Callithrix jacchus: one gene and its partners. The protein of the gene in region 2 interacts with the protein of the main gene of each other region in a pairwise test. Links are inferred from orthologs where the notes say so. Each region holds a gene or a part of one and is shown on either strand. Other genes may lie near its edges. The genes, in order: LMO2, ZNF24, DZIP3 and YJU2B.

Region 1 (8,139 bases), on a different chromosome or scaffold from region 2:
GCCTCAACCTCCTGAGTAGCTGAAATTACAGGTGCCTGCCACCACAGCCAGCTAATTTTTGTATTTTTAGTAGAGATGAGGTTTCGCTATGTTGTCCAGACTGGTGTCAAACTCTTGACCTTGTGATCCAACCGCCTTGGCCTCCCAAAATGCTGAGATTACAGGTGTGAGCCACAGGGCCCGGCCTGTGTCTCCTATTTCTAACTGGCACTAACTTACCAGGTGACCTTGTGTCCTAATTAGTCTGTATCCAAAAAGCCCAGCAGCCATTATATTTGGAGACAGGAGACTCAGGTGGCTCAATGTCTATAATACTCTGACAACTTGAGGTGATTCTGTCATGCAAAGTATGAAGTACTCCCTATGAATATTTAGGAGTACCAAAGCCATGTCCACACTTTGTAGATACAGTGTAACTGGACTTCATGAGATTATCATCTTTAGAACAAGTAAATGTAAAGTTCAAGCTAGTTTATCTGGGGGGAAAAAAATGGCCAGGCACAGAGGCTCACACTTGTAATCCCAGCACTTTGGGAGGCCAAGGCAGGAGGATCACTTGAGCCCAGCAGTTTGAGGCCAGCCTGGGCAACATGGCAAAACCCTGACTCTACAAAAAACATAAAGAATTGCCCAAGCTTGGTGGCATGAGCCTGTAATCCCAGCCTCCCAGGAGGCTGAGGTGGGAGGATCACCTGAACCCAGAAGGATGAGGCTACAGTGAGCACTGCATTCTAGGCAAGACAATACAGTGAGACCTTAGCTCAAAAAAAAATCAGGACTGCATTTATTTATTTACTTATTTATTTATTTATTTTTGAGACAGAGTTTCGCTCTTGTTACCCAGGCTGGAGTGCAATGGCATGATCTCAGCTCACTGCAACCTCCGCCTCCTGGGCTCAGGCAATTCTCCTGTCTCAGCCTCCTAAGTAGCTGGGATTACAGGCATGCGCCACCATGCCCAGTTAATTTTTTTGTATTTTTAGTAGAGACGGGGTTTCACCATGTTGACCAGGATGGTCTTGATCTCTTGACCTCGTGATCCACCCGCCTCGGCCTCCCAAAGTGCTGGGATTACAGGCGTGAGCCACCGCGCCTGGTGACTGTAGTTTTAAGAATTCACTGAAGGCTTGCTTTCTTTCCCTTGTTTCTACAGATTGTATATAAGGACTACCATTCTCCCTTCTAATAACTAATACCCTGGCTTTTTCACGTGTATCAACTGGGAATTGCATCTCTTCTCTTTCCACAGCCCATGGTCTTACTCTGGGCTTTCCAAACCACTCATGGAACCTTGACTACATTGGATGCTGCCAAAGGACTGTGAAAGAGGAGAATTTGCCCTTAGCTGGTGCAAAACTGCCTGGAATTCAAATGAACTGCTCTTGGTACTCACGGGAGGCAGCGGGGGCCAGCAATGGCATAGCAAGGGAATCTCTGTGTTCATGAATTCTGGCTGGCTTTCTGTCCAAATGTTTCATTTGCATATAGCTAGGCAAGTCTCCATCTGTAATTTGGAGATGCTGACTGTAATAACCCAAGTTGGCTTTGAGGAAGTACACAATGAAGAATCTAGTAGGATACTGGACCACAGGAGGAACGTAAAGTAAATGAGTTATGGTGACGGCCTGAGATGAGATGGAGAAGTAAAGTGTAAGATATTGGCTCTGTCTTTCTATAATTAATTAATGATAATATCACATTATACTTAGTGGACAATCCAAGACAATGACTGAATGAGATTGATTCACCCTCAAATTAATATTTTATATTCTCCCAGAGCCTATCTTGAATATTATACCTGAATATCACTTCAGCCCGGATTTCTGGGATAATTTCATAACAATTTCTAAGGGGGTGGGGAGAATGCACTGCAGCAATTTCTCAACCAGCTTGTGCCTTTTTGATTAGAACCTGTCTTCATTGGGCAAATAGTGAAGTGAAGGAAAGAGCTGGTGAGCCTCCAGCAGTCGATACCTGCCTGTTAGGAAGTTAGGATGTTTCAGTTTTATATCCTCAGTGAGAAAGCACAAACTTTGAAAGAAGCAAACTTCCTTCAGGGAACTGAAACCTTCAGATTTATCTTCTATTGAAAGGATTAGTGACAAAATTCTACTGATCAAAAAGGCATTAGGCACCAATTCATCCAAGTCACTTCCTTATTGTGTGATCTTGCCCAGTCTCTGAAACTCAGAGCTCGGTTGTAATTGTTAAGTTTATTTAAAAACGTGATCAAACCACCCTTTAAACCCATTGTTTGCATAAACATACTTTTAAAAAGGAATGTTATTTTTCTTCTGAGAATTTGTTGAAGGAAGTGGGGGTTTTTGCTACAACAAACCTAGCTCATTATAGAACTGGTGTATTAACCTTCAAGACTGAATAGTGATGTTTATATTCTCATTGGATGGTGGTACTTCCTGCGTTTTATGAGAACATGCTGAGCTTTTATGCTGGTAACGGAGGGTAAAACCCAGGTAAATAAACACCATAGCCGAAATTGAAGGGGGTGTATGTGTGTGCGTGCGTGTGTATGTGTGTGTGCGTGCGGTATTTCAAGCAGGAAAGCACAATTCTTTTAAAGCAGGAAAAGACAAAACAAAACAAATGTCTCTTAAAAGCACAAATGGACAAGTCATTAACCAGCTCCTTTGGTCTTGTGTAACAAATCCCTTCAAAGGATTAGATGGGGACTTCAAAGGAATAAAAATTCTCAAAACCAGACAGCTAATGACTCTTAAAATGGCATTTGCGTTGACAGGAAAATGATATCTTAAACACCCCCTGCTCCCCATGTTAACACTAAAGAATGGGTTAGGGATAGAGAAATACTCCAAACTGGTACGAGGCTCAGAAAACAGATGCGGCCAATGCTCATTAGAGCCCTGGTTACCTGACCCCAAACCCTTTTGAGACTATGCTAAAAACTGAGACTCTGCTCCCCAGAAGAATTAACCTACACGCAAAATGGTGCACTAACTTTCGAGGTTCACAGGCCCCATCGGTGGACCCCGAGGAGGGGTACGCGTACTCAGATTTACTCCGGATTTCGCTGCTCTAGAAATCCCTGGAGGCCCAGAGCCAGCTCCGAGAAGGGCGGTCAGACCCCTCACCCGCCCGGTACCCGCGCTGCTGGCAGCGGCTCCACCTGCGGACCGGGAAGTCGGCCGTTGGGGACCCCGGAGGCCTCCACTTGGAATGTTCCCCTTTCCAAGACCAAATGGACAAAGAGAAAGGGCCGAGACTGAGCGAGAGGGGAGAAGGGAGCAGTGAAGCCCGAACGCTCTTCCGACTGCACCTGCGCGCCTCCGGGCTTCCCTGGCGCCTGCTCCCGTGCAAACTTTCTGGCCCGCGGTGGCTTTAGGGAGCGTCCCGGTAGCCTGGAGGGGCCCACAGAGGCGCCGGGCCGACCCCTCGCCCTCCCGCCCGCCTCCCAGTCCCTCTCCCAGGGCCCCCGGAGTTACCCACGAGGAAGGGGGGAGTCCCGCGTTCGGCACAGGGGACCAAGGGCACGCCGGGGCGCGCACCTGGAGCCCCCTCGCGGGCCGCCTGGGTCCCCCCCGCCGCCCCGGGGCGGGAGGCCATGGACACCGGGGGTGGCAGGGGCAGGGGCGCTGCACTTACTCTGAAGGGTCCAGGCTCTTCCTTTCGATGGCCGAGGACATTGGGGAGGGAGGCGGCGTGCCGGGCGGTGGGGGCGCTCCCTTTGTCGCGCGGGGCTGGCCGGCTGCCGGGGCTCGGACCCCCTCGGGTGCTCGGGCGCCGCCGCTCCTGCGCCTCCGCTTGCTCTGGCGCTCCGGCGGCGAGCTCGCCCCTCCGCGCTCAAGGACAGTCACCGCGCTCCCTTCAAACGCCAAAGAGAGAGAGCGAATCACCGGGCTGCGGGCGCGCGGCGGCCGAGGCGGGGGCCGGGGCGCGCAGCCTGGCCCCGGAAGGCTGCAGCTGCTGCTGCTGCTCAGGACTTAACCTTCCATCCCGGTCCCGCCGCCGCCGCCGCCGCCGCCGCCGCCCGGTCCCTCTCGCGCACTGTCGCCGGCTTCGCGCCGCCCACGGGATGGTGCGCGCCCGCCCGGCCGCCCCGAGCCCCTCGCACCTTCGGCCCGGGTCTCCGCGCGCAGCTCGCCGCAGAGGGCAGAGAGGGGGCGGCGGCCTGGGGGCGGGGAGGGGATCGTGCGTCTCTCCCCGGGCTTCCTCCTCTCTCGGGAAGGTCTATTTTCGCTCAGCTTCCCTCTGTCTCTGGTTTCATTTCCTTTTTCCTGATCACGATTCAAATACAATAGAAGGAAATCACATTTAAAGAGACAGCTGCCCGGTCCCCCCACCTCCCCTTTTTTCTTCCTTTTTTTTTTTTTTTTTTTAACGGGGCTCCTGGGGATTAGCAATACAAACAGCAGCATCAGGACTGACTTGGTTTCTTAAAGGGGCCAGTGTCGGGAACGGGGAGAGCCGCTCGGAGAACACCTCTCCTTGGAGAGGAGGCTGGGCAGCCACTAAATCATTCTTCAGAGCTTCCCCTCTTCCGCCTTTCCCTTTTAGTTTAACTGAGGCAGAAAGTAACCCACGAACAGTTCGATCAACCAAGAAAAGACAAGAATGAGAAATAAGCACCTACAGAAATGCAAGCGTTCCGAGTGGCTTTTGCGTCCGTCCTGGGTTCGAGGTCCCAGATCCACGGACCCGGTGCACCGGGCTGTCCCGGACCGCGCAGCTCTGCGGGCGGTGGGCTCCAGGCTGCGGCCGCACTCTGCAGAGGCGATGGGGCTGTGCGGGCCGGGACTGCTGGGGACGCCTGAGCAGAGCCAGGGCAGCTAATCCCAGAGGGAGGGTGGCGGGGAGGGACTACGCGGGGCCAGGGATCCTCTCAGTCGACTCGTGGCGGAATCCCCTCCCTCAGCATCTTTCAGAATGCGGACTAATGCAGTTAAACTGCCCCCATGTGTAGTGCCAGTGCCTGGGTGACAGAGTGAGACCCCGACCAAAGAAAGTGCTTTTCCAATGTTCAGGAACAGTATTGGGAGATTATTTTGCCCTGGGTCAGGCATAAAGAAGGGGATTTGATTTGGGGGTTCAGGCTTCCCCCCCATCCAGCCTCCTTCTAGAAAGAGGCAGGAAGCAGAGGGGAAGGAGAGGAGGCTAGTAGTCTGCCCTTCCATGGAGAAAAACTTTGGCTCCCCTGGGCCTCAGAGTTCCTTGAAAATATCTGCATTCAGGCCTATTTCGGTGTGATGCCCGTCATTAAGGCTTGCAAGGAGGGAACTGCCAAGTACTTTCAGGATCCATGGTTTTATATGATCAGTCTGGATCATAGGCATACTTATTTTGTTCCCATTTTAAAGATGGCACCACGGGCCTGGCTGAGCTCACCCTGAAAGGTGGTAGTTGAAGTCAGAAGTGAATCCCTGCATGCTTCATTTTCCCTGTTCAGAGCCAAAGCTTTATGGACCTGTCCAAGTATAACCAGAGTTTACCACTGCCTGCATGCTCTTGTCATTTTTTGCCCCTGTGTCCCAAGGCTTGGGTCTCTAATGGCTATAATTAAAAGCTCTGTGTGTGTGTGTGTGTGTGTGTGTGTGTGTGTGAAAGGAAGTTTAAGAGCACATTTTTGTCCAAGCAAAGTCTTCAGTATACAAAAAGACTATTTTTTTTTTTTTTTTGGTTGTGCTCAGTGGCTCATGCCTGTAATCACAGCACTTTGGTAGGCCCAGGCTAGCCTGAGCAACACAGTGAGACCCCATTTCTATTAAAAATAAAAATAATTAGCTGGGCGTGGTGGTGCTTGCTTCCTCAGGAACCTGAGGTACTAGGATTGCTTGAGCCCAGGAGGTGGAGGTTGCAGTGAGCCATGATTGCACCACCACACTCCAGTCTGGGGGTCAGAGGAAGACCCTGTCTCAAAAAACAAAAACAAAAACAAAAACCACTTTTTCCCTGATAGACCCTTATTTTTAATTTAAAAAAGAAAATTCCTAGAAATTTTAGACAAGCCTAAACTATGTGATAAAAATACAACCTACCACACTACTTTCATGGTTGTGATGAGCAATTCACCTACTTGTCAACAGTCAGTGTGGTGGCTAAATGCTGGAATTTTGGGACCCGGCTGCCTGGGTTTGATTTAGCCTCTTACTTACCAGCCAGCATGGCCTCGGAAAACGACTTAATCTGAGGAGGCAATATGCGGTGGTGGCTCTGGAGTCAGACTACCTGGATTCTAACCCACCTTTGACCACCTGTGTGAATGAACCTGAACCTGGGCTCCCAGCAGGAATTTAAACTCCCAGTATCCTGTAACCCCAGCACTGTGAGAGGCCAAGGCGTGTGGATCACTTGAGGTCAGGAGTTAGTGACCAGCCTGGACAACGTGGTGAAACCTCATCTCTACTGAAAGTACAAAAATTAGCTGGCTGTGGTGGTATATGCCCTTAATCCCAGCTACTCCGGAGGCTGAGGCAGAGGAATTGCTTGAACCCAGGAGGTGGAGGTTGCAGTGAGCCGAGATTGTGCCACTTCACTTCAGCTTGGGTGACAGAGTAAGACTCCATCTCCAATCAGTCAATAAACTCCCAGTATCCTCATCTGTAAAATGGAGATGACAGAACCTATTGCATAAGCTGTTGTGGGGATGATATGAGTTAATGCACAAAAGGGTGGCACGTAGATTTGTAATGGCCTTAGGCTAATAACAGATATGAGGTTGCTTGCAGGAAAAGCAACTGGTATATAGTAAGCACTCATAAATGGCAGCTGCTATAGTTTTAGCAAAGGGCATCATTAAGATAATTTTAAAAGAGCTTGAAATTAAATTTAAAGGTGAAATGAGGGTTTAAGATAAGAATTGCCCACCCAAATTTATAAACTATTTCCTGTTTTTTAAAAGCAGGAAACAGGATCCCTTCCGCTCATCTCTTTCTTCTCAATAAAACATGTTAACATTTTCCATTTGAATCTTCATTATCGTGGTGAGTGAGTGATCTGTTTGCATCTGCTTGTTTTTATTCAATCTGATAAATTACTACTTTCCTTGTTACAGTTTTGCATGGGGCTCAAGTCAGTTGTTAAAATAAATATATTCTTGGGTTCCAAGAGGTAACCTCAGAACAGCCAACTTCAGGGCATAAAGTTTCTTTTTAATAATGTGCTTCTACTTTGACCTGAGTGTGTAAGAAAAAGAGATTACTGCCTATGACTTTGGGTCAGGGTCTTATCTTTCACAACTCTTTGGGGAGAACTTCCTTAGAGAAGGTGAATATTTGAAATGGTATCTTAAGATTTCAATTTCACACACAGTGGTTGTAAGAAATAACTGCCTACCGGTGGGATTTCATTCCTATTCAACAGGCAATTAAATCGCTCAAATTTAAGTTTAACATTTAGAATCAAGTCTCAAAATGTGTTTTTATTATGAATAATTTTAAGGCAATTATGACCTTATTGTATCCTCCCAAAACAACTTGTACATGCCTTATGCAGAAGAGAGACTCAGAACTATGAGGTGATTGGAATATGTAAAATAGTTCTTTCAGAGTAGAGGAAATCTCTGTTTGATCCCTGCCAGTGGGACTGACATTTAATTCCGTTTCCCTTTTCCCCAGCTCCTTGGAAATCTTAAATATCCTAAAGTCTAGAAAATTTTCAAATTTTCCTTCCTGAAAAAGAATGCTAGAAGAAGAATAAATCAATCTACATGATGACTCTGACCCCAGATGAATCCCCACCCCCCAACCGTGGGCATTTTCTGTTCTTTTTGTTTATTACATTTACAATTGTTTTCTAGGGTAGAGCAGTTTCAGGTGACTAAGGCTACATTCCTTTGCTAAAATGGACTTCTGATAGAAATGAAAATGCAAATATAATTGAGAAAATCCCAACATTACGGTAATATACCTCTCTCTTTTTTTTTAACCATTAGAAGCAAAGTTGCAACATATGCTTTGTCACTTGTGACATTCATATACAAAAACATGACATTTTGTTTCTGAATGTGGCATTCAGGAACAAAAATGAAGATCTGTCTTAATAGCGTTTCAGCTCCCATGCAGAATTTTTTCAACTATTCAGTTGTCACAGGCATCTCACACTCAGACTCATTTCAGAACATTTAAGGACCAGCTGATAGATAAGTTTTCACAGAATGTTAGACCT
Region 2 (8,109 bases):
CTCCTCTCCATTCTCTGGATGATGATCTCGAACCCAAGTCTGTAGCTCTTTGGGTAGGATGGCAACAAACTGCTCCAGCACTACCAGCTCCAAGATTTGTTCTTTTGTGTGTGTCTCTGGCCTGAGCCATAGACGGCAAAGTTCTCGGAGCTGGCTCACAGCCTCACGGGGCCCAGGTGAATCCTGGTATCCAAACTGCCTGAATCGCTGTCGGAAAATCTCTGGGTCAGGGAGATGGTTCCAGGGGATACTTGATCCCTCTTCACCATCGGGATCCTCCTCCAACTTCACTCTCAGAATTTTTTCCTCTTCATCTGGAGTTGGAATGATAAGTATTGAATCTTCTTCCACTGACTGTGCAGACATTCTGATTTATAATACTTCAGGAAAGGACAACTGAGGCAGAATATAAGCCTCAGGGCAATACCGCGATTTCTTCACGGTACTCCTGAGGTACAAGAAATAAAAAATACATAAATGAGCAAAAATATCCTAAAAATTTGGACTTACACTGATAAAAGAAGTAAAAGATACTTGTTCTTTGACTGAATTACAAACTTCGTTCGACCAATAACCTACACCAGGAGTTGGCAAACTACAGCTTCATGGCCAAATCTAGCCTGCCGCCCATTTCTGTACAACACTTGCATGAAGAACAATTTTCACATTTTTAAATAGCTGTGGCCTTCACCACAGTGCCTTAGAGAATGGAGCTCCCTAAAATTAAATGAATACCTAATGATATTTTAGAGAATGGAGCTCCCCAAAATCAAATGAATACCTCATGACATGTGGAAATGATATGAAATTAACATGACTGTTTCCATAAATAACTGTATTTATTCATACTTCACACTACAATAGCAGAGTTGAGTGACTACATGGCCTAAAAAACACCTAACACAGTCATGTACTACATAATGACATTGGGGTCAATGAAGGACCACATAGATGACAGTGGTCCCATAAGATTATAATGGAGCTGAAAAACTCAAGATTCACACGTTTGTGGTGATGCTTGTGTAAACAAACCTGCTGTTTTGCCAGTTTAGCACATACAGTTATATATGGAACATAAAACTTGGTAACTAAGCAGACAAGAATGATGAAAAAAAAAAACGGTAACAATAACAAACAACTATGTTACTGGTTTATGTATTTACTATACTATACTATTTTAGAGTGTGCTCCTCCTACTTATTAAAAAAAAATGGCTAACTGCAAAATGGCTTCAGGCAGGTCCTTCAGGAGGTATTATAGAAGGCACTGTTATCATGGAGAAGACAGCTCCACGCATGTTACTGCTCCTGAAAACCTTCCAGTGGGATAAGATGTGGAGGTAGAAAACAATGTTATTGATAATCCAGACCCTGTGTAAGCCTGGGTATGTGTGTGTCTTAGCTTTTAACAAAAAAGTTCCAAAAGCAAAAAAAATTGGCCAGGTGCAGTGGCTCATGCCTGTAATCCCAGCACTTTAGGAGGCTAAGGCAGGAAGATCACTACAGTCCAGGAGTTCAAGGCTCCAGTGAGCTATGACTGCACCACTGCATTCCAGCCTGGGCAACAGAGACGCTGTCTCTAAAAATTAAATTTAAAAATAGCAAAAAGCTTACAGAATAAGGATATAAATATATTTGTACAGCTGTACAATGTGTTTGTATTTTAAGCAAAGTATTATTACAAAAGAGTAAAAAAGTTTAAAAAAAAAACAACAACGTAAAAGTTGGCTGGGTATGGTGGCTCACACCTGTAATCCCAGCACTTTGGAGGCCAAGGCAGGGGGATCACGCGGTCAGGAGTTCGAGACCAGTCTTACCAACATGGTGAAACCCCGACTCTACTAAAAATACAGCACACCTGTAATCCCAGCTACTCAGGAGGCTGAGGCAGAACTGCTTGAACCTGAGAAGCAGAGGTTGCGCTGAGCCGAGATCAGGCCACTGCACTCCAGCCTGGGTGATGGAGCAAGACTCCATCTCAGAAAAAAAAAAAAGTAAAAGTTTGCAAGTGAAAAAGTTCCAGTAAGCTAAGGTTAATTATTGAAGAAAAAAATGTTTTCTTAATAAATGTAGTATAGCCTAAGTGTTCAGGGTTTATACAGTCCATTGGCATGTACAATAATGTCCTAGGCCTCCAAATTCACTACTCACTCGCTGACTTCTCAGAGCAACTTCCAATCCAGCAAGCTCCATTCACAGTAAGTTCCCTGTACAGGCATATCATTTTTAAAACCTTTTATACCATATTTTATTCTATCTTTTCTATGTTTTGATACACAAATACTTAGCATTGTGTTACAATTCTCTACAGCATTCAGTACAGTAACATGCTGTAAAAGTTTGTAGCCTAGGTGCAACAGGCTACACCAGATAGCCTAAATGTGTACTAGACTACACCATCTAGGTTTGTGTAAGTACATTCTGTGATGTTCACACAAGGATGAAATAGCCTAACATATTTCTCAGACTGTAGCACTATTGGTAAGTTATTCATGACCTTATTTACTATATGACCGCTTAAAGAAAAAGTCTGCCAATCATGACCTACTAAGACAACAAACCCTATGTCAATAATCAGAAGAATCCAATTAAGAACCAGACTACTTCAGTGCTTTCTAAATGTGCCTGACCATGGAACCCATTATTTGCAATTCAGGACTGGTGTTTCCTGACACACACAGGTCAACTCAAAAGGAAGATTCGCTTTATTATTACGTGCTTAAAAAAATTTTCTTTACAAAATGTTTTTTTAAAACTTAAATATTTTTAAGGTGTTTAAGAACTCCTTGGACTCAAAATATATGTGAAAAAATGTTCACTTGCTAAGTAACAGATCACATAATACTAAAAAGATCATATGTGAAAGATCACATAATTTTGAAAAATTATCTTGCCCATAATATGTAAATATTCAGTCTTCCATCACACCATATGTACATTGATATTTATAATGATAGGCATTAATCGCAGAAAATTCTATTAAGAAAAGGCACTCACATAAGCACCTTAACTTCTTGGCAGTGGTCCAGTGTCTTGTCCTTACACTGGATGACTCACTCCCCAGCTTCTACCTTCAGGAAAACTGTGTGCTGTTCCTGGACCTTTATTATTTGCACTATCATGCCCGTGCTGTTGTTTATGTCACATACTAGCAACGAGCAATTCAGCCTACTCTATTTATTTACTCAGGGCCCAGAATCTGAACAATAACAACTTAAAAAAATTTATTGTAACTCAAGATGAAGACTGAATCAGAAAAGGCCTTATCAGACAAATAATACATACTGGCTTAATTAAATATTCTGGAGTGTGGTGGCCTTATAAATAAGGTCTACCTAACACTCATTCGTTTCTATTCCAGGACCTGCTTATCAATGGTTTAAGTATCTCTACACAAATTTCTCTTCCTTTTACGTTGTAGAGCATACTACTCGTGGGACATGGAGGGAAGGCCCACGGTCCCAACAACGTTTGGGCAGGGTACCTGGTCCCAGGTGATCGCCTACCTCACTGCTGCATTGACCCGCTGTGTAGCCCGACCCTGGCCCAACGTCCTCTAGCCCCTCTTCCCAGCATTCAGGACAGCAGATTTCAGATGACCAAAAGGCCATCTGTGACAACAGACGCTGTGACAACAGACGCTGTGACAACAGCGTCGGAACCATGGCACTTCCGCCCGCGGCCGGCGAGACTACAGATCCCAACAGCCCCGCGCAAGTCCCGCCCCACTCCCGCCTCCTCCTAACACGACTCCCAGAACCCTCCGCGATACGCCAGGGCCTCGAAATAGAACAAAACCGGCCAGTGGGGGAGGGGGAAGGTGAGGGTCTCGGAGGACACAGAGAGTCAGAGGACTCTCCGCAGATGCCGAAGACCCAAGCAGGCCTCCCGCTCCCGCCTACCTCTCCCCGCCCCATAACTGCTAGGCGCGGAGGCCGCGGCCTGTTCCCCGGGCCTCTTGGGAAGCTGAGGAAGGTCCGAAGCAGGCTTCCCCGCCGGCTCCTGCTAAGACGGCCGGAGACCCTAGCCCGGTGTCCCCCTCCCTCTCATAACGTCCCCGCACACCGGCGCAAACCTCCGGCTCAGGAACCGCAGCAGCTTCGCTGTCCACGGCAGACGCAGAAACGCCGCTAAGAAGCCTTTTCCCAGAAGCCCCTGGCGCGGGCTGCTTCCGGTCTGCGGGCCCGAGGAGGCGGGGAGAGGTGAAGCCCACGTTGCCATGGAGAAGCTCCCGGGCGGGGGAGGGGCGGCCCCACGACAATGACCGCATTGAGGCTGCGCTTGGCCTCGTGCCTCTCCTCGAATAGCCCAGAGTCCTTAGGACCGTTTAAAAGAAAAGAAAAGAAGAGAGAGGACTCTGCCATTAAGATAGTCCTTACAGTTTCGCAAACCCTTTGATATGCATTATCTTGTGGATCCTCTCAGTAATCCCCTGCAAGAAGGAATAAAAGCGAGTATTTGTGAAAGCTTACTACATTGTGCCAGGCGGTCTCGTCGTGCTTTCCATGTCATTTGTTTCTCACAAATAAATGATGTAGGAACTTTCATTATCCCCGTTTAACAGCTGAGATAGTTGAGGCACAAATACCGTAAATAACTTGACAAGAGCTCACAGCTCAGTTGTGGGTAGCAAGATTTGAAACCAAGACGTGATTCAGATCTTTGGCTCCCACTACTTATGTCACGGAGCTTAATTCTGACCAATTTATCTGTCAGGAAAACCAAAAGAGACAAGAGTTTTGGCAGTGATGTCACGGTGAATTTGTAGAATGCATGGTCATTTTCAAGCTGGGCATTTTATACCATAAAATAGCTGCTGACGCAATCATTGAAAATTACAAATCAGACCACTTCATTCCCCCATTTAAAGGCCTCCAAATTATGCCATGATAATTTATGGCGTAAAAACTTTTTGTAATGATCTGTAAGGCCCCTGTGGTCTGTTGCCTGCCTGCACCCCCAGTCCCTGGTGCCCCCTATCACCTCAGCTCTTCAGCTCATTGTGGCCCAGTAGCCTCAGCCTCACAGTCTGCCTTTCATAGCACATGACCCTTCATGGCACTTAATGGAAGTGATTTCATTTATTTACTTGTTTTTTGTTTTGTTTTGTCTGTAAGTCCTTTAAGGGCAAGGACCTTGTCTGTCTTGTTCACCGCACTATCCCATCCTAGTCCCAGGATGCTGACTGCCTTTGGTAAATAGAGAGCTCGATAAATGTTTGTTGAATAAATAAATTGTGAGCTGATTACATCGCTGCCTTTAGGTCACATGTCTGGCATCAGACACCACACAAAGGAGCTCTGTTGTTTAAGGACGTGTCAAAAGTGTAGGTCCAGCCTTCTATAAGCATTCCAGTAATCTCAGGCTTCAACTTTTTGGTTCATTCGGGAAAATGCCCTCCCCAAGGTGCACTCAGACTCTGCTGGATTCATGAATGAAAGAGCAAGTGAGCAAGCAGCTGATGGTATTGCACTGCTTTTCACTCTGACCAGAGCTCTTCTCACAACCCCTGCTAACACTCTTCATTGCAGGAAGCTTCAGAAATCCAGCCCTTTCATTCTGCTTCTTGGATAGGACCAGTAAGCAGCTTGGCTCCTCTTCCCAACCTTTTCCTCTTTTCTGATTCATAAAGGCTAACTGAAGGCATCTTTGTTTTAAGAGTTTTTACATCTAATTAATGTTGGAAGACAAAAGTGATAAATCTCAAAATGAAACCTTGGGGAAGTTAAAAATGTTGCAGAATTTTACAGAACACTTTTCCTGTGATTATATTCTGTTTGTTTGTTTTTGAGACACGATCTTCATCCATCACCCAGGCTGTAGTGCAGTGGTACAGTCTTAGCTTACTGCAGCTTCGAACCTCCCGGACTCAGTGATTATCCCACCTCAGCCTCTTGAGTAACCGGGTATTTTATACCATAAAATAGCTGCTGACGTGATCATTTAAAATTACAAATCAGACCACTTCACTCTCCTATGTAAAGGCTTCTATTTTATGCTGTAATAATTTATCTTGAAATGCTTATGGAAGGCTAGACTTATACTTTTGACAAGTCCTTAAACAACAGGTGTGCTCCACCATGCCCAGTTAATTTTTTTGTTTGTTTTTCACAGACGAGGTCTTCCTATGTTTCCCAGGATGGTCTCCAACTCCTGGGCACAGGTGACCCTCCTGCCGTGGCCTCCTAAATTGAGCACAGGTGACCCTCCTGCCTAGGCCTCCTAGATTGCAGGTGTGAGCCACTGTGCCTGGCTTCCATTCTATTATTCCTAATTCCTTCTAAAATACTAAATGGAAACCACAGTGAGGTTTTCCTCACTAAGTTACTCTTTTGAGGGCAGAGGCCAATAATACCTGCTTTGAAACACCATCCTTCTGAAGTCCTCTGGGATTTTTCCTGAATGATGGCCCTTGATGCCATCTTAAAGATCTAGTCAAGATAGAACATCATGTTCCTCTGGGCAACCTGAATGGAGGGAGCAGATTCATACCAGGGCATGACAACCTTGCACATATCCACATAGGCCACATAGGTAATGCATGAACCACAGCTAATCTGAGTCTTGGCAGAACACCTTAGGATCCTCCCAGAAGATGAGCGCATATGAGGCTTGTAAGCAGCTTCTGCAAGGCCATTTCCCACTCAGCTCCTTGTCTTCCACGGAGACTGTCATGAGGCAGTTTTTCATTGCTTCCTGGGTTCCAATGAGCCATTCTGCCTTACCCACTTAAGGTTATAACAAGGCTTAGCTGCAGCATGGCATTAACCCTCAGCAACAAGGTGTCCACAACGCATGCTGTAGTCATCTAGCCCCTTCTGTTTTGGTGTCATCATTTGGTATCTGAGACAAAAGCTCAAGGAGAGCTGGCATTTCATTTGCTTTCAATGTCTGTGTAAATAATAACATGTCTAAATTCAAAAAGGGCTCATTTCTTTACCAGCCAAATCTTTCAACCTTGCCTTGCCTTGGTAGCAAACATCTGATTCTTAAAAATGAATAAAACAACCAGACATATACTACCTGGCTACCAGAGATATAGAGATAAATAAAATGAAGTCATGATTCCTTTGTTTTTCCCTTTAAAAGAGATGGGGTCTCACTCTGTTGCCCAGGCTGGAGTGCAGTGGCATGATTACAGCTTGCTGCAGCCTAAAGCTCCTGGGCTATAGGGATCCTCCCACTTCCTAAAATGCTGGGATTACAGGTGTGAGCCACCATGTCCAGTTTGATTCCGTCTTTTAACATTACCATCTTGTTAAGGAAATAAACAAACAAACAAAAACAAGTATTCACAAGGCAGTGTAGAAATACTACACTAGAGAAGAACAGAATGCCTGTAATGAGGTGGTGTGCTTAGAGTGAAGAGAGGCACCTTGAAATTGAGGAAGCCAGCAAGAAAAGTTTTCAGGCTGGGCATGGTGGCCTGTGCCTTTGGTCCCAGCTACTTAGGAGGCTGAGGTGGGAGTGTTTCTTGAGCCTGAGAGATTGACAGTGCAGTGAGCTGTGATCGCACCAGCCTTGTGGACAGAGCGAGATCCTGATTTAAAAAAAAGTGTTCACATTGGAAGGAAAGCATAGACCTTCAGATTTGGTGTTATCAGATTCCATCCAAGATTGATTTTTTCCAGGCTTTGGAGCTCTCAATCCTTCCCTTCATCTCAAAAGTATCTCCCTCTGGGCACTTTAAGTACATTGCTTAAAGATTCCATTTTACCTAGTAAGTGTACAGTATGAGGAGTCTTTCAATTGCATATGACTGATAACCTAACAGGCAAGCATTGTTAGTTTCCTACACAAAGTGCCTCCCCTTACTTTTAATACACTTCTGATTTTTTGGATGGAGTGGGGCAACAGTGTAACCAGCTGTAAGCTATAAATTGTAATTGAGCTAAGCTATCCATGACCATTCTGCTTCCCTTAGGCAGATACTTGCTTTGCCTAGCTGGCAGCTAGGAATGAGTATGTGATTCAATGCTGGTCAATGAGATATAAGGAGAAGTAGTTTCTATCTTTGAAGAAATTTATCTAATTCATTTAAGTTGTCAGATTTATTGGCATAAAGTTGTTCCATAATTATTTCCTTAATATCTTTTAATGTCTAACAATG
Region 3 (7,427 bases), on a different chromosome or scaffold from region 2:
TTCATACTCTTTACTCATTCTAATGGTCTTCTTTCCTTTCTGAAGTTTCAAGCTTCTATTATATATCTATTTTTAATGTTAGAGACCTTTCTATAGCCATTCTTTAAAGGTAGGCTATATGAATTTACTAGCAATAAATTCTTATAATTTTCCCTTGTCTGAGACTGTCTTTATTTCCCTCTATTACTAAAGAATAATTTGCGCTAAATATGGGATTCATGGTTCTACTTTTTTCTTTCAGTAACTGAATAAACTACCATTTCATTCTGGTCTTCATGGTTTCAAATGAAAAATATCTGTTGTCATTCGAATTACTGTTTCATAAGTAATTTTTTTCTCTGCCCTTTTTCAAGACTTTTTTGTCTTTTATTTTCAGAAGTTATGATGTGTCTTAGCATGGATTTTTTGGAGTTTTTGCTATTTGGGGTTCACTTAGTTTGAGGTTCACTTAGTTTCTGAATTTGTAAATTTATACATTTCATCAAATTTGGGAAATTTTCAGTATTTCTTTGAATACTTTTTCAGTCTCTCTCTCATTCTGCTCTCCTTCTGAAATTCCAGTGACAAGTACTTTAGCTCTTTTGTTACTGTTCCACAGGTCCCTTACACTGTCTTTTTCATATTTTTCTCTCAGTTTATTTTCTCTTTGTTCTTCAGATTGAGTTCATTCTATTCAGCTGTCCTCATGTTCACTGATTGAATCCTTTGTCATCTCCACTCTATTAGTGAGTATATCCAGCAACTTTTAATTTTAATCACTGTATTTTCTAGTTATAGAATTCCCACTCTTTATTTACCTACTTATTATTTACCTGCTGAGATTTTCTAGGTTTTCATTTGTATCAAGATTATTCAGTTTTGTTGAAGCATTTTTGTGATGGTGGCTTTAAAATCCTTGTCAGATAATTCCAATATCTCAGTAATATTAATATTGTGATTTGCTGGTCTTTAATCTTTCTTGTCTGAATTTCTTGGTTCTTGGTATGGTCTATGTTTTCTACTCTACCATAGATATTTTGAATATTATGAGACTCTGGGTTCTAGTTAATCTTCCTATTTTTAACAGGCAGTCTCCTGTTGAGGTATAATGTAAAAGCCGAGGAAGGTGGGTATGCATGGCTTTGCACTGTGCTCTACGAAAAGCACCCCAGGAAAAGTGGGCACTGACTCGCACTGCCTCAATGCAGATGAGAGGTGTACAAGTTCAGCTCCCCTCCCAGTCCCACTGATACCTTCCCATGAAAGTGGAGCACCAAGTCACATTGCCTTCTTGCCGCCAAGTGGAATATAAGATCAGCTCTTTGCTGGACCCTGCTGACATTGGGAAAGAAGAAAGCAAAGGACTGACTCGCACTACTTTGTTGCTGCAGGGTAGAGGCAGAAGTTCAGCTCCCTTGTGTCCCTCTAGCACCAGCTGACGGAAGTGGGGAAAGGGAATGCCAGCTAGTCCCATGGGGGAAGACTTAATTCTCAGTAAGAGGGAGTGAGGATGAAGCCTAGTATTGACTAGTTTTGTCTCAGACTGGCTTGTTAAGTAATATTGGTGCTGGGTAGCGGTAAAGTTCAGCTTTCAGCTGACACATCCTGCAGAGGAATTAAAGTACTGTCTCCTTCTCCCCAGTGGAACATGGAAGTCAGCTGTCTGGTTAATACTGCCAACACTATCCTACCAGAAAAACAGGATTCCTGCTACCTACTTATGTTAGATGGGAGAATCGCTGTGTACCACCTACTTCCAAGGGGTGGCATGGGACCACTTGTGTGTGGCTGCAGTAGGGTGGGTATTGTCAAAAAGCCTTTCTATTATTATAATTTCCTTTTACTGATAATTTGGCTAGAAGAAACAGGCTTTTTTACAGTTTTTTTTTCCCCCTCTGCTTTTTAGCAATTCCAGGTTAAAGGCTTCCGCAGTGCCCCGAGATATATGGGAGGCAATCAGAAAATTTTTGCCAGCTCATTCCTTAAGTCTCAATGTCTTTAGACAGCATTCTTTCTTTTTCTACCTTCTAGAGTGTTACTATGCTTTTCTGTTGTGTTATATCCAGGGTGTTTAAGTTTTTAAGAAGAAACAGCTGTGAGAAATGGGGCTATACATCTTAGTGGACCTGGAAGTCTCTATTTTATGTAGTTTTATCCTTACATGTTAATTACACTCTCCATTGGATCATAATGAATGTCTCACACATCTTGGTATCTTCTACATGTGCCTTCCATAAGTTTTCTAACATAGTAGGCCCTTGATAAATGTTTGGTGAATGCCCAACATTAAATGCTCATTTTGTGAAGGCATATGCATCCCCTAAAGTGGACTACTTAATAGCCTCAAGCATGTAAGGGTACATGGGCCACCTGTCAGGAGTTGAGGAGGAATATCTTCAGATGGAAGAAAGTCAGCTCATCCTCACTGATGGCATGGCTTTTCTAGTCTCTGATATTCTATGACATATTTCTAGATTAGTCATCCTCTTTAGGCTAAAAGATGAAGTTCTGAATGCTGAAGTACAGTTTCTTAAATGATTGCAGCCAGCTTCGTTTGTCTGAGCTTTCTTAAGTCCCACAGTCTTCTAAACTTGAATGATCTCTCTAACTCTAGTAAGGATAAGTCTGACAATGCTTATGAATGAAATCATGTTGTCAGAACTATGGCATCTAGTTCTTGCTAATAACCCCTTCATGTGGCAGATGCAATATGAGAGAAAACTTAGAGCTAAATCTCTGGCAATTTCATAAGACATTCCCAGCACTTGTCTATTCTCCCTGTCAGCATTCTAGGAACTGCAATGTATTTTAAACTAGACTTTTTGGATGGCTGGTGTCTTACGGTATTACTGTTTGTTAAAATAATTGGCTTGAAACTATGCTGCTATTTAAATCAATACAGGTTGGAAGCAGTGATTAGTACAGAAAGAACAAACAACGTTACTAATTTTTTCCTAATTCACTTAGAATTTTTGGTCAGGATACATAAAGCGTATCCTAAACTTTAGGTTTAGGAGAAAAGAGATTGGGGTAAGGTGGGGAAGAGTCAATCAAACAAACAAAAAAAGAGATTTGTTTTCAATCTCACAGGCATAGAACACAAATGCTCTGAGATACCAACATAAAAATGCACTCAACAGATTCCCTGGTGTCTTTGAGGAATGTATTCATATACTATAAAGAAACAGCCAATCATTGGCCACATTTTTACAAATTAAAGTCATGACCTGAAAGTTAATTATCTATTACATTCACACTTGTTCGCCAATACATGAAAAGCTTGATATATAGTGTGAGCAGCTGCTTATTTCTCAATCCAGTTGGCAAGACAAAAAATATGGTTGGTTTTTAAACAAGTGCAGCCTTGTGGTTGGAGTTCCTAATGCGTAGTCACAGTGCCACCTAGTGGTTATGCAGGGAGTAAGTATTAAAGATACTGTTTACTATGGGGCAAACCCAGAAGTTCCTTTTATCAAAAGATTTACACTTACTTGGAAACCTTATTGATTCCAAAAGCCACTTGTTGATTAAGAGATGAAATAATTTTGTCTTTCTTTTTAATCTGCATTTGGTTTTCTTGCCACCGAAAAGTCACTGTTCTCAACTGTCTTTTGAAATCCTGATCAATAAAAATATTATTTCAGATAATTCTGTTCAAATCACCAGAAAATTGAAACAAAAATGCAAACAAAGTTATTTTCAAACAGCAAACACCTGTAATTTTAATATTTGAAATACTTCTCACTTCCCTCAGATCTAATGGCAAAAATACTTACTTCACACTGATAGTGCAATTTATAAAGCTGCCTTTGCCGAGCAAGCCTTTCCTTCTCAGTTTCTCCATAGTCTGTGGTTACTTTGCCAGCTGAGCCCTATGAGCAGAGGAAATATGCATGTCTTACTTTCCTCTAGAAAAACACTAATATTTTAGTTATTTGAAAGGGATTTAAAGCTGCCATCTAACTCCTGTTCATGTTTTTTGTCTCAAGTAAAACACCCAACTTAGATAAACGCACCATTAGATAAACCCACCTCCCCTCAATTAGAGCATTTAATAGAGTACCAGTTACTTGCCTGTTGCTGCTACTGCTGGAGACCACCAACTGCATGCCTACCATTTCTTAAGCACTTTCTTTGTAAGAGTGATGCTCGTATTGTCATAAGAACCATATGATGTAGACAGTCATTATTTCCATTTTAGAGATGATCTCATAGTGAGTAACTTGCCCAAAATCACATAGACAGTCAGTGGAGGAGCCTGCATTCTAACTCAGGCAGTCTTCATTGCCCAAGCACTTATTACACTGCATCATCTGAGTTTAATGTTCAACTTATGCATTACATTGTAAACATTATAACAGAGACTCTGTCTTAGCACAGCTCTTGACAAAATGCAGGTGAATATATCATTTCAGTTAAAATGTATGTATTCTAATTAGGAGAAAAAAAGGTATGACAATTATATGAATGTTGTACTATTGGCCAAGGAATGATTTGTACTAACTGTACCCTTAGACAATGAGTATTCCTACATATTATATACCACTATATTTAAATAGCAGAGCAGGTTATCACTGAATTCACACTAGTAGGTAAAAAAAAATTGGTTTTAAAAAAAATTCATTTGCTGTTGAGCACTTAAATCACATTCACGTGCCTCTTCACATATAGGTACATCATTCCAAGCAGTGTCTACCAGGAATGGAGCCAGAAAAAAAAACATGGCTACACGTAGCCATTTTTGTAGCCATTTCATGGTAAAAATCATATTGAATTTTTAAAAATCAAAGCAGCTTTATATTACAAACCCGTTTTTCTCATGACCTGTAATCTAGTGGTATTATGCTAGTTTTTTTTTTTCTTTGTGGTATTCAAAAAACCTTTGCAAGAAAAGCATCTGTGATCAACTTTGCCCTACATTTAAAGCAAGGAAATGGTCTGAGGGCTAAGGTGAAGTTTCCTGAAGTTTCTAGCTCCTAGGGGTTCTGTATTTTTTAATCTATTTTCCTTCATATAGCCTTCCTTACCTCCTTTTCTGTATTTCTTTTTCTCCTCACAAACAGTACAAACCACTGAAATTTTCAAGGGGTTATGCTGTTCAGAGAGTCACAGGAAAAACCAGGTAACAACTGAATCTGAGAGAAGGCAGGTACCCTTTCCAATCAAGCTTACCTGCTCTATCATGTCCAGAATATGCAATTCATCCAGGCTATAAAACTTGTCTTCCGTTGCAGAATCCTCTTGAATATCACTTGCGTCATCTTTTAAAAAGCCACCGACTGACTGTGGATTTGCTTGTTCTTTCTTCAACTGCTCTTCGTTTTCTACCACATATGGGCTATAGCGGCAACATAATCAATGTGAGCCTTTACACTCGTACAGTGATTTTCATCTAAGCTATGGCTTCCCAAATTAGTATTGTACTGGTTTCACGAGATGCTCAGCATTAGAAGGGTTCATGGCCAAAGAACGTTTGGATAGTGCTCATACTGAGTCTTTCTTTTGAAGATTCTTAATGAACATTAGCATATTTAAAGTAGCACTCAGTCAAGGTACCTGTTTAATTCTGTTCATGCCACTGTTTTCAAAAATTGAGAGTTCACTTTACAAATTATAACTAGTAATTTCAGTTGCTTTGGAAAACAGTATTTCAGAAATATTGACAAGGATTTCCGCAACTGATATATTATTTTACCATTATAACATTCTTTGTTCTCCCATAATTTCCTTGACAAGTAGGTTGGTTTAAGCAACTTCAGTGATTAGGTCCAATGTACTTTTAAACAGAAGGTGGAAAATAGAACATAAAACAGACTGTAAAACGGAGGTTTCTTTTGTTACAGGACTTTTAAAAAAGAACTACATGGATTTCAGTAACTTAACTACTAACAGAGACCACCTTTAAATGATGAACATACTATATACAAATGATAGCAATTAACCAATTTCTATACTTTTTTCTAAAATTTAATTGCCTGATACTGTCCTTTCACTTGGCCTACTACTACTTACTAGCTATAAATTTCCTTCCTAATCTCTTTGAATGGCAACAAGAAACAGGAGTATTCTTATTTAGATTGTAATGTAAATGACTTGATTTAGCTAGTGAATAGAAAGTCCAGGATACATTATTACTTTTTAGAACACTGAGATCTAGAAAAAATGAAATCTAATGCTTGTGGAATAATTCATAAAATACTATATAAGCAGTAATTAGATATTACTGAGGTATTCTAGAGTGATCCAAACATTCTGAAAAGTTCAATGAAATCAATTGATTGTGTAGAACACTGATTCTCAGATTTAATTACTTTTCTAAATTATCTGAAGAGCTTTTAAAAATTAAATGTTTCTAAACATCCCTACAACTGTAAAAATACAGATGAATTTGTATTTTTGAAAAGTTCACCAAGATTATTCCTAAATTTTTTAAAGTATACTCAGGCATTGCCTAACAACAAGGACAGTTTCTGGAAAATGTGTCATTAAGCGTTTTTGTCATAACATAATATCATAGAGCATTAATACACAAAGTAGATGGTATAGCCTACTACATACCTAGGCTATATGACATAACCTATTGCTCCCAGGCTATAAACCTGTCACAGCATTTTACTGTACTCAATATGATAGGCAATTGTGATAAGTATTTGTGAATTTAAACATATCTAAACATAGAAAAATTACAGTCAAAAGGTAATATAAAACATAAAAAAATTGTACACCTGTACAGTGCATGTACCATGAATGGAGCTTATAGGACTGGATGGTGCTCTGGGTGAGTCAGTGAATGAGTGGTGAGTACCATATACTACTATAGACTTTAAAATAAACATGGTAAACTTAGGTTATGTTAAATTTATTAAAAAATAAAGTAATATCACTACAATGTTATGACAGCTACACCACTACTAGGCAATTGGAATTTTTCGGCTTCATTTTAATTTTATGGGACCACCATCATACCTGAGGTCTGTCCTTGACCAACATGCTGTTATGCAGTACATAACAGCACTGAGATAATATAAAAAATGTTCATATTTCTAAGATGTAAACTGAAGAATGAAGGGGTCAAATTACAAGGATGTTTGGGATTGAACACCCTTCAGTAAAGAACAAAATGTCAAAGGAAGTATGAAACAAATGTGAAAAACAGAATAATTGTTGAATCACAGTTACAGGTATATATGCTACTGCATATATATTAGTCTCTTTACTTTTGTGTATATTTGCAAATTTCCATTTAAAGACAAAGCTTCTTCATCCAGATTTGGATCCACTGTGTAAGCAAAATGATTGATGACATTGTTTCACCTTTATCAAACTATATTTATGGCATTAGGCACACCCTAAAAATAAACAAACAAAAACTACCGCTCCAGTGACTCAACCTGTTGCCAAAGAAGGTGAAAACACATCTTAAATGATGAACTATTTTATATACCAAG
Region 4 (8,214 bases), on a different chromosome or scaffold from region 2:
GCTGGGCATGGTGGCATGTACCTGTAGTCCAGCTACTCAGGAGGCTGAGGTAGAAGAATCACTTGAGCCCGGGAGGCAGAGGTTGCAGTGAGCTGAGATTGTACCACTACACTCCAGCCTGGTGACACAGTGAGACTCTGTCCTGAGGGAAAAAAAAATTAGCCAGGTGTGGTGGTGGCTGTCTGTAATCCCAGCTATTTGGGAGGCTGAGGCAGGAGAAATGCTTGAACGCAGGAGGCAGAGGGTGCAGAGAGCCAAGACCACGCCACTGCACTCCAGCCTGGGCAACAGAGTGAGACTCCGTCTCAAAAAAAAAAAAAAGAAAAAAAGTAAATTCAAAAGCCATTCACCTGTGCAGAAGGCAGGGCCAGGCTACTTTGGAGGCCCCAAGAGAAGTTATCCACCCACTTCTGAAAAAGGCCAGACGGTAAATATTTCAGACTCTTTGGGCTCTCTCTTACTCTGCTGCAACCATTCAATTCAGCCCTGTTGCAGCCATAGACAGTACGTAAATGAAACAGATAAATGAATGGGCCCTGCTGTTGTAGGCAGGTGAAAAATGGCTTCCCTTCACCTTTATAGGATCTTTGGCTGGTCTACGAATTAAACTGACATGTAAACATAACAAAAGCCATATTTAATTATGTACCTATGCAGGAGAGTCCCATAAAATACGAGACTCCGAAAAGGATCAGAGCGGCTGGGCACAGCCGCTCAAGCCCGTAATCCCAGCACTTTGGGAGGCCAAGGCAGGTGGATTACTTGAGGTTAGGAGTTCAAGACCAGCCTGGCCAACATAATGAAACCCCACCTCTACAAAAACTAGCCAGGCATGGTGGCGGGCGCCTGTAATCCCAGCTACTCGGGAGGCTGAGGCAGGAGAATCACTTGAACCTCAGAGGTGGGGGTTGCAGTGAGCTAAGATCATGCCATTGCATTCCAGCCTGGGCAACAGAGGGAGATTCCCTTTCAAAAAAGGAAAAAGAGGATCAGAGAAAAGAATAGGGGTTTGGGGCTTCTGGGAGGGTGGTGGCAACACAAGTTATGGGAGTGTGAGGGGACAAATTGTATGATGAAGAAAGTCTGTCTTGTTAAGCAAATAAAGTCTTGCAGGTAATAAAAATTGTCTCAGGCCAGACACGGTGGCTCAAGCCTGTAATCCCAGCACTTTGGGAGGCCAAGGCTGGCGGATCACCTGAGGTTGGGAGTTTGAGACCAGCCTGACCGACATGGAGAAACCCTGTCTCTACTAAAAATACAAAATTAGCCAGCGTGGTGGCACATGCCTGTAATCCCAGCTACTCAGAAGGCTGAAGCAGGAGAATCGCTTGAACCCGGGAGGTGGAGGCTACAGTGAGGCAGGATCGCTTGAACCCAGGAGGTGGATGTTGTGGTGAGCTGAGATGGCGCGATTGCACTCCAGCCTGGGCAACACGAGCAAAACTCTGTCTCAAAAAAAAACAAAGTTGTCTCAGAGCAGCCCTCAGAACAGATGACTGGGCGTGGTTTCACTGTTCCCTAGTTAATAAAACCGTGAGAAAGGATTCATCTTTCTTTCTGTGTTCAGGCAGATAAGATCAATTCAGTTCAGAGAAAACCCCTCCTTCCCTGCATTTGCTGTTCCCCCCAAGTGCCCTTATTTTGAAGCAATCAGCAGATCAAAATGCATATCACTGTATTCCAATAAAACTTTATTTATGGACGCTGAAACTGGATTTTTTAATTTTCACGAGTCACAAAATATCTTTTCCCCCACCTAACCATTTTAAAATGCAAAAACAGAGCAGTGGTTCATGCCTATAATCCCAGCACTTTGGGAGCCAGCGGATTGCTTGAGTCCAGGAGTTCGAGACTAGCTGTGGCAACATAGTAAAACCTTGCCTGTGCAAATAATTTTTTTTTTTGAAATGGAGTCTCGCTCTTGTTGCCCACGCTGGATAACAGTGGCGCAATCTGGGCTCACTGCAACCTCTGCCTTCCGGGTTCAAGCGATTCTCCGGCCTCAGACTCCCAAGTAGCTAGGATTATAGGCGCCCGCCACCACACCCAGCTAATTTTCGTATTTTTTTAGTAAAGACGGGGTTCCACCATGCTGGCCAGGCTGGTCTTGAACTCCTGACCTCGTGATCTGCCTGCCTCTGCCTCCCAAAGTGCTAGGATTACAGGCGTGAGCCACCGTGTCCGGCAGCAAATGATTTTAAAAATTAGCCGGGTACGGTGGCGCGCGCTTGTCGTCCCAACTATTTGGGAGACTGAGGTAGGAGGATCGCTTGAACCCAGGAGTTCGAGGCTGCAGTGAGCTATGACTGCGCCACTGCACTCCAGCCTGGGCGACAAAGACAGACCCTGTCTCAAAAATAGAAAATAAAAATAAATTGGACAAACAATTCTTAGCTCACTAGCCGTCCGAAAACACGGCCTAGTGCGCTTCGCGCCGCGGGCTATAGTTTGCTCACCCACGCTGACCCACTGCCGCGCACAGGAGAGCACTCTCGGGAGGGCGGTGCCAGGAGGTGGGCCTCGGATTGGGCCCCACGTACTGGGCGGGACAGATACGCCATCTTGACGTAAGCGCAGTTGGGCGGGGAATGCCCGGATTGGCCTACCCGGCGTCACAGAGCGCGCGGCATATCGGTATTCAGCCAATCAGCGCGGCGCTGTTGTCTCGCCCCGCCTCGCGCCGGCGTCTGGGTGGTGTGGAGAGGGCGCCCAGTTTCACAGAGCTCCCAGCGCTCACTTCCGGGCACGGTCGGGCCGTGACGTCGGGAGGAGGGCAGGTAAGTGCGGAGGATCGGGGAAGGCCGGGGTCCGGCCGCCGCCTCACCCTGGCCTCGGAGCCGCCTGGCTCGCCCGTCCGCGTTGCGGGACGCGGAGCTGAGGACCCGAGTTGGATGCCCGGAGCAGGCCCAGGTCCCAGCCACGACCAAAGTCCCTGAGGCCCCAGCTGAGACCCCCGACCCAAGTGCCCGGTTCCCGGCCCCATCCTAGCCCGCATCCATATTATGCCTGAAGGGCCCCTTGGTTTCCGCATCCGGAAAATGGGACCAATAAGTCCCCACCTCACCAATTTTTTTTTAAATGATCCTTGTAAAACCGTGAGCAGGAGAAATTACTAAACTGCCAACATTTAACTCGGTGTCAGGCGCTGCTCTAAATGCCTTAACCAACCATTTTACACATAAGGAAAGCGAGGCTTAGAGAAACAGTTTGCCCCAAGTCAAGCAGATGGGCAGCAGCACGGTGGCACTCCGAACCCGAGCTGTAAGCCCAGGACAAACAGGGTCGGTAATTACTTTTGCACGAAGGACCGGAGATACCTACACGCCCCGCCCCCCATAGCCCAGTCTGTCATTTACTGGGGCAGTAAAACCATCTTAAGACATGCACACCCTCACGCTCCCGTAAAAGGAATATTTTTGCTCTTTGCAGGCTCTTCCCGTGTGTTACTTGATTCACAGCAACCCCAGAAAGTCAGTCTTGTCGTCATCATTCGCCCTTTACCAGGGACGAAATACAACAAGCCCGGGGAAGTACAGACACTGACCAAGGTCACCCAGCTGAGTGGAGCTGGGATTCAAGCCCAGGGTGCCGTGACCCCTAACGCCTCAAGGGGCACTTACCTATTTTGTTGGCAAAAGTATTTTTAGGTTCGAACAGACCTTGGAATAATCTAAGCTAAGGGCCGTACTTTATAGTGGAGTATCCAAGACTAAGATGCGAGCAGAACAGTTTATATCCAGGACTTGGCACCACTGCCTCCCCGCCTCATCACATAGCCCCCACTCCATCAGAACCTCATTCATTTGCTTCTTTTCTCTTCTTTTTTTTTTTCTTGAGACGGAGTCTTGCTCTGTTCACCTAAGCTGGAGTACAGTGGCATGATCTCAGCCCACTGCAATTTCTGCCTCCCAGGTTCAAGCAATTCTGCCTCAGCCTCCTGAATATCTGGGATTACAGGTGTGTGCTACCATGCCCAGCCAAGTTTTGTATTTTTAGTACAGATGGGGTTTCATCATGTTAGCCAGGCTGGTCTTGAACTCCCAACCTCAATTGATCCACCTACCTCTGCTTCCCAAAGTGCAGGGATTACAGGCGTGAGCCACTGTGCCCAGTCCCTAAGAATGGTTTTACATTTTCTAGTCATTGGGGAAAAAAATCAAAAGAAGGATGCTTTGGGACAGGTGACGAGTATGTGAAGTTCAAATTTGTGTCAACAAAATTTATATTGGCATGCAGCTACATACGTTCCTTTATATGTTGTTTGGGGCTGCTTTCTAGCTACAAGGGCAGAGTTGAGTTGTTGGAGCAGAGATCATCTGTCCTAAAAAGCCAGAAATATTTACTGTCTCCCCCCTTGACAGAGAAACTTGGCCAATCTTTGTTCTAGAATACGCTTCACTGCCTCACAGCATCTCTCTGTAGTGTAAACTTGAACTTCCTTCTATTTGACCTAAAAGGCTCCCTTCCAAAACATGGGAGGGCATCTGACCACCCCTAGCTTGAGGAGCCCCCACATTTGTTAGCTGTGTCACTTGCACTGACTGTGGCCCTTACGGAGCCTCGATCAGTTCTCTCAGTCGCTCACCCCATTGACGTTTATCTGGGCCTGGCACTGTCCAGGTGTTGGGGTATGGTACAGTATAACCTGGCCGGGAGACATGAACAGACACAGGGGATGTGACCAGAACGCCAGGAAACAGGCCGGGCGCAGTGGCTCATGCCTGGAATCCCAGCACTTTGGGAGGATGAGGCAGGCGGATCATGAGGTCAGGAGATCAAGACCAGCCTGAGCAACATGGTGAAACACTGTCTCTACTACAAATACAAAAGTTAGCTGGGCATGGTGGCAGGCACCCATAATCCCAGCTACTCAGGCGGCTGAACGAGGAGAATCACCTGAACCTAGGAGGTGAAGATTGCAGTTAGCCAAGATCACGCGACTGCACTCCAGCCTACAACAGAATGAAACTCCCTGTCAAAAAAAAAAAACAACTCCAGGAAACTAGTGACTATGGATTGAGTGGTCAGATGAGTCTGTGTGTCTGTGTGTGTATGTGTGTTTTGAGATGGAGTCTCACTTTGTAGCCCAGGCTGGGATGCAGTGGCACCGTATTGGTTCACTTGAACCTCTGCCTCCTGGGTTCAAGCGATTCTCCTGCTTCAGCCTTCCAAGTAGCTGGGACTACAGGCACGCGCCACCGGGCCCAGCTAATTTTGTATTTTTAGTAGAGACGGGTTTCACCATTTTGGCCAGGATGGTCTCGATCTCTTAACCTCATGATCTGCCCGCCTCAGCCTCCCAAAGTACTGGGATTACAGGCGTGAGCCACTGCGCCTGGCTGTCCATATTTTAAAAGATCCCCTGGGCTGCTGTAGGGTGAGCAAGCATCGGGGGCAGGGCAGGAAACGAGAAGACAGCGCTGGCCCACGTGAGTGATGATGGGTGCTGGACTGGTCGGGGCCACAGAGAGATGAAAGTGTCAGATGTGATGGGTACACTGGCTGTTGAGTAGGCAGAACTCCTCTTTCTGAACAGACACACGCCGCTTTTTGGATGTCTGCAACGCCTGGCAGGAGTCTTGTGTGAGCCGGCTCCACCACACGGCCCACGACATCTTCGCAGGGAAGACAGTGGACCAGGAGGCCAGGACAGGGCAGTGTGCTCACAAGGCCAGTTTCTGATCGTCTGCCCTGAGGGTGAGGACCAGTAGGCAACTGCCAGGATGGTGAGTAGACAGCCTCGTGTGCCCTGGGCTCCTCTCCCAGTCTGTGTTGGACCCTGGAAGCAGCCCCTCCTCCCCTCCCACAGCTCTAAGATGATGCTTCCTATGTCGGGGTCACCCTCTTGATGCAGTGGGTCTGAAACGTTGCTGTGCACTAACATCACCCAGGGGTGCTTTTTAAATGTTTCCTTTGGTGTTTTTTTTTTTTTTCTAAGACAGTCTCACTTTGTCACCCAGGCTGGAGTGCAATGGCACGATCTTGGCTCACTGCAACCTCCACCTCCTGAGTTCAAGCAAGCACCTCCCACTAATTTTTATATTTTTAGTAGAGACCGAGTTTCACCATGTTAGCAAGGCTGGTCTCAAACTCCTGTCCTCAAGGAATCCACTACGCTCAGCCTAAATTTCCCCTTCCCCCTCCCCTTCTTTCTCTTTCTTTCCTTCATTTTTTTAAAAGGTAAAATTCATATAACATAAAATAAAACATTATGAGGCCAGGCGCAGTGGCTCGCGCCTGTAATCCCAGCAGTTGGGGAGGCCAAGGCAGGCGGATCATTTGAGATTAGGCATTTTGAGACCAGCCTGGCCAACATGGCATAACCCTGTCTCTACAAAAAATACAATTACTAAGCCAGGCATGGTGGTTCACGCGTGTAGTCCCAGCACTTTGAGAGTCCGAGACAGGTGGATCGCCTGAGGTCAGGAGTTCAAGACCAGCATGGCCAACATGGTGAAACCCCCGTCTCTACTAAAAATATAAAATTAGCTGGCCATGGTGGCAGGCACCTGTAATCCCAGCTACTCGGGAAGCTGAGGCAGGAGAATTGCTTGAACCCAGGAGGCGGAGGTTGCAGTGAGCTGAGATCACAGTGAGCCGAGATTATTCCACTGCACTCAGCCTGGGCAACAAAGGAAGACTCTATCTCAATAAAATAAATAAATAATCCAAAAAAAATGTTTTTAATGAGATTTGGGTGGGGACACAGCCAAACCAAATCAGCCTGTCTCTCAGTCATGTCTCTTCCGCTTTACAGGGTGAAAGGAAAGGGGTCAACAAGTACTATCCTCCAGACTTCAACCCCGAAAAGGTAAGAGCAGCTCCCTCCTCCAGCCCCACACTAGCAGAAAGGCCCACGTCATCCCCTCTTGGGGTTGGAGCTGCTGCTGTGGAAGGATGGGCGGCCCACAAGGTCTTTTTGTCCTCCGCTCGTTACATGAGGCTCGGGCTGTCTTCACTTCTGGGTGGTAACTGGGGCTCTCCTCAGGGACCTGTCACTCCATGTCCAGCAAGGAGCATAGTGTGTTTACAGCGGGGGCCCAGGATATGGCCAAGCGCATGGATGAGGATCCCCTGGCTCCCCAGCTCCAGCACCTCTGGCGTCCTGGTTGTCGCCTCTGCCTGGAATCTTTTCCTCCATTTCACCATACCCTCAGTTCCTTAAGGGCTTTCCTCACAGAGGTCCTCCCTGACCACTGTCTCGTTCTCTGTGGCATGGCAGAGCACTTTATATAACCTCACAGCCCTTAGAACTCCCTCACTTATTGTTCCTTTATTTGTGTCTTGTCCGTCTCCCCTACTAGAACATTCTCTCCATGAGGACAGAGCTGTTCATGGCTGTGTCCCCACAGGGTAGGTGCTCAGTCAGGGCCCGAGTCCATTGCCTAGTCCTGAGTATACGACTTTGGCCTTTGTATGCCAAAGTTTCTGCATATGTCAGAAGGGGAAAATAAAAGGAGCTGACCTCACAGAATCATTGAGGGATAAATCCTAACTACTCGAGAGGCTGAGGTGGGAGGATTGCTTGAACCCAGGAGGTGGAGACTTCAGTGAGCCATAATCATGCCACTGCACCCCAGCCTGGGCTACAGAGCCAGACTCTGCCACAAAAAAAAAAAAAATTAGGTGATACACATGAAGTCCCCAGGGAATGTTTGCCAGCCTTGTCACCTCACCTCATCTTCCCCATAAACCTGGAAGTAATGATGACCATTATACATAGTTGACAGACGGGGGAAACTGAGGCTCAGGAAGGCAAAACATGAGGTCACTCACTCAGGGTCCCCTGGCTCTTTCAGTTCATAAATGGGAATGGGGCTGGGCACAGTGGCTCGTGTCTGTAATCCCAGCACCTTGGGAAGCCAAGGCAGGCAGATCACGAGGTCAGGAGATCAAGACAATCCTGGCCAACATGGTGAAACCCAGTCTCTACTAATAAAGTACAAAAATGAGCCAGGCATGGTGGCAAGCACCTGTAGTCTCAGCTACTTGGGAGGCTGAGGCAGGAGAATCACTTCAACCTGGGAGGTGGAGGTTGCAGTGAGCCGAGATTGTACCACTGCACTCCAGCCTGGGTGACAGCAAGACTCCATCTCTAAATGAATAAATAGGAGGGGGACTATTGAAACTCACATTCCTGGTTCCAAGCACGTGTGTTCCAGTAAGACTTGGGTGCCTCCCGGATTGCTGTGAACACCAATGTGCAGGACATAA

The links.
Region 1: the proteins of ZNF24 (region 2) and LMO2 interact in binary tests that used the Homo sapiens proteins (3 or more experiments, as listed by UniProt). The two-hybrid records come from large-scale screens. The link is inferred for Callithrix jacchus from reciprocal best matches to the Homo sapiens genes ZNF24 and LMO2.
Region 3: the proteins of ZNF24 (region 2) and DZIP3 interact in binary tests that used the Homo sapiens proteins (3 or more experiments, as listed by UniProt). The link is inferred for Callithrix jacchus from reciprocal best matches to the Homo sapiens genes ZNF24 and DZIP3.
Region 4: the proteins of ZNF24 (region 2) and YJU2B interact in binary tests that used the Homo sapiens proteins (3 or more experiments, as listed by UniProt). The two-hybrid records come from large-scale screens. The link is inferred for Callithrix jacchus from reciprocal best matches to the Homo sapiens genes ZNF24 and YJU2B.

What each region holds. Positions count from the first base shown.
Region 1 is NC_133511.1:99,241,791-99,249,929, forward strand, and holds the start of LMO2 (rhombotin-2), read right to left. Parts: upstream 4,236-8,139; 5' UTR 3,972-4,235; coding exon 3,965-3,971; intron 3,842-3,964; coding exon 3,622-3,841; intron 1-3,621. UniProt on the Homo sapiens protein: Acts with TAL1/SCL to regulate red blood cell development. Also acts with LDB1 to maintain erythroid precursors in an immature state.
Region 2 is NC_133514.1:78,424,113-78,432,221, forward strand, and holds the start of ZNF24 (zinc finger protein 24), read right to left. Parts: upstream 4,132-8,109; 5' UTR 3,506-4,131; intron 449-3,505; 5' UTR 367-448; coding exon 1-366. UniProt on the Homo sapiens protein: Transcription factor required for myelination of differentiated oligodendrocytes. Required for the conversion of oligodendrocytes from the premyelinating to the myelinating state.
Region 3 is NC_133516.1:99,726,413-99,733,839, reverse strand, and holds part of DZIP3 (E3 ubiquitin-protein ligase DZIP3), read right to left. Parts: intron 5,318-7,427; coding exon 5,152-5,317; intron 3,852-5,151; coding exon 3,756-3,851; intron 3,599-3,755; coding exon 3,471-3,598; intron 1-3,470. UniProt on the Homo sapiens protein: E3 Ubiquitin ligase proteins mediate ubiquitination and subsequent proteasomal degradation of target proteins.
Region 4 is NC_133523.1:12,551,245-12,559,458, forward strand, and holds the start of YJU2B (putative splicing factor YJU2B), read left to right. Parts: upstream 1-2,717; 5' UTR 2,718-2,777; intron 2,778-3,837; 5' UTR 3,838-3,957; intron 3,958-5,536; 5' UTR 5,537-5,723; coding exon 5,724-5,726; intron 5,727-6,757; coding exon 6,758-6,811; intron 6,812-8,214. UniProt on the Homo sapiens protein: May be involved in mRNA splicing.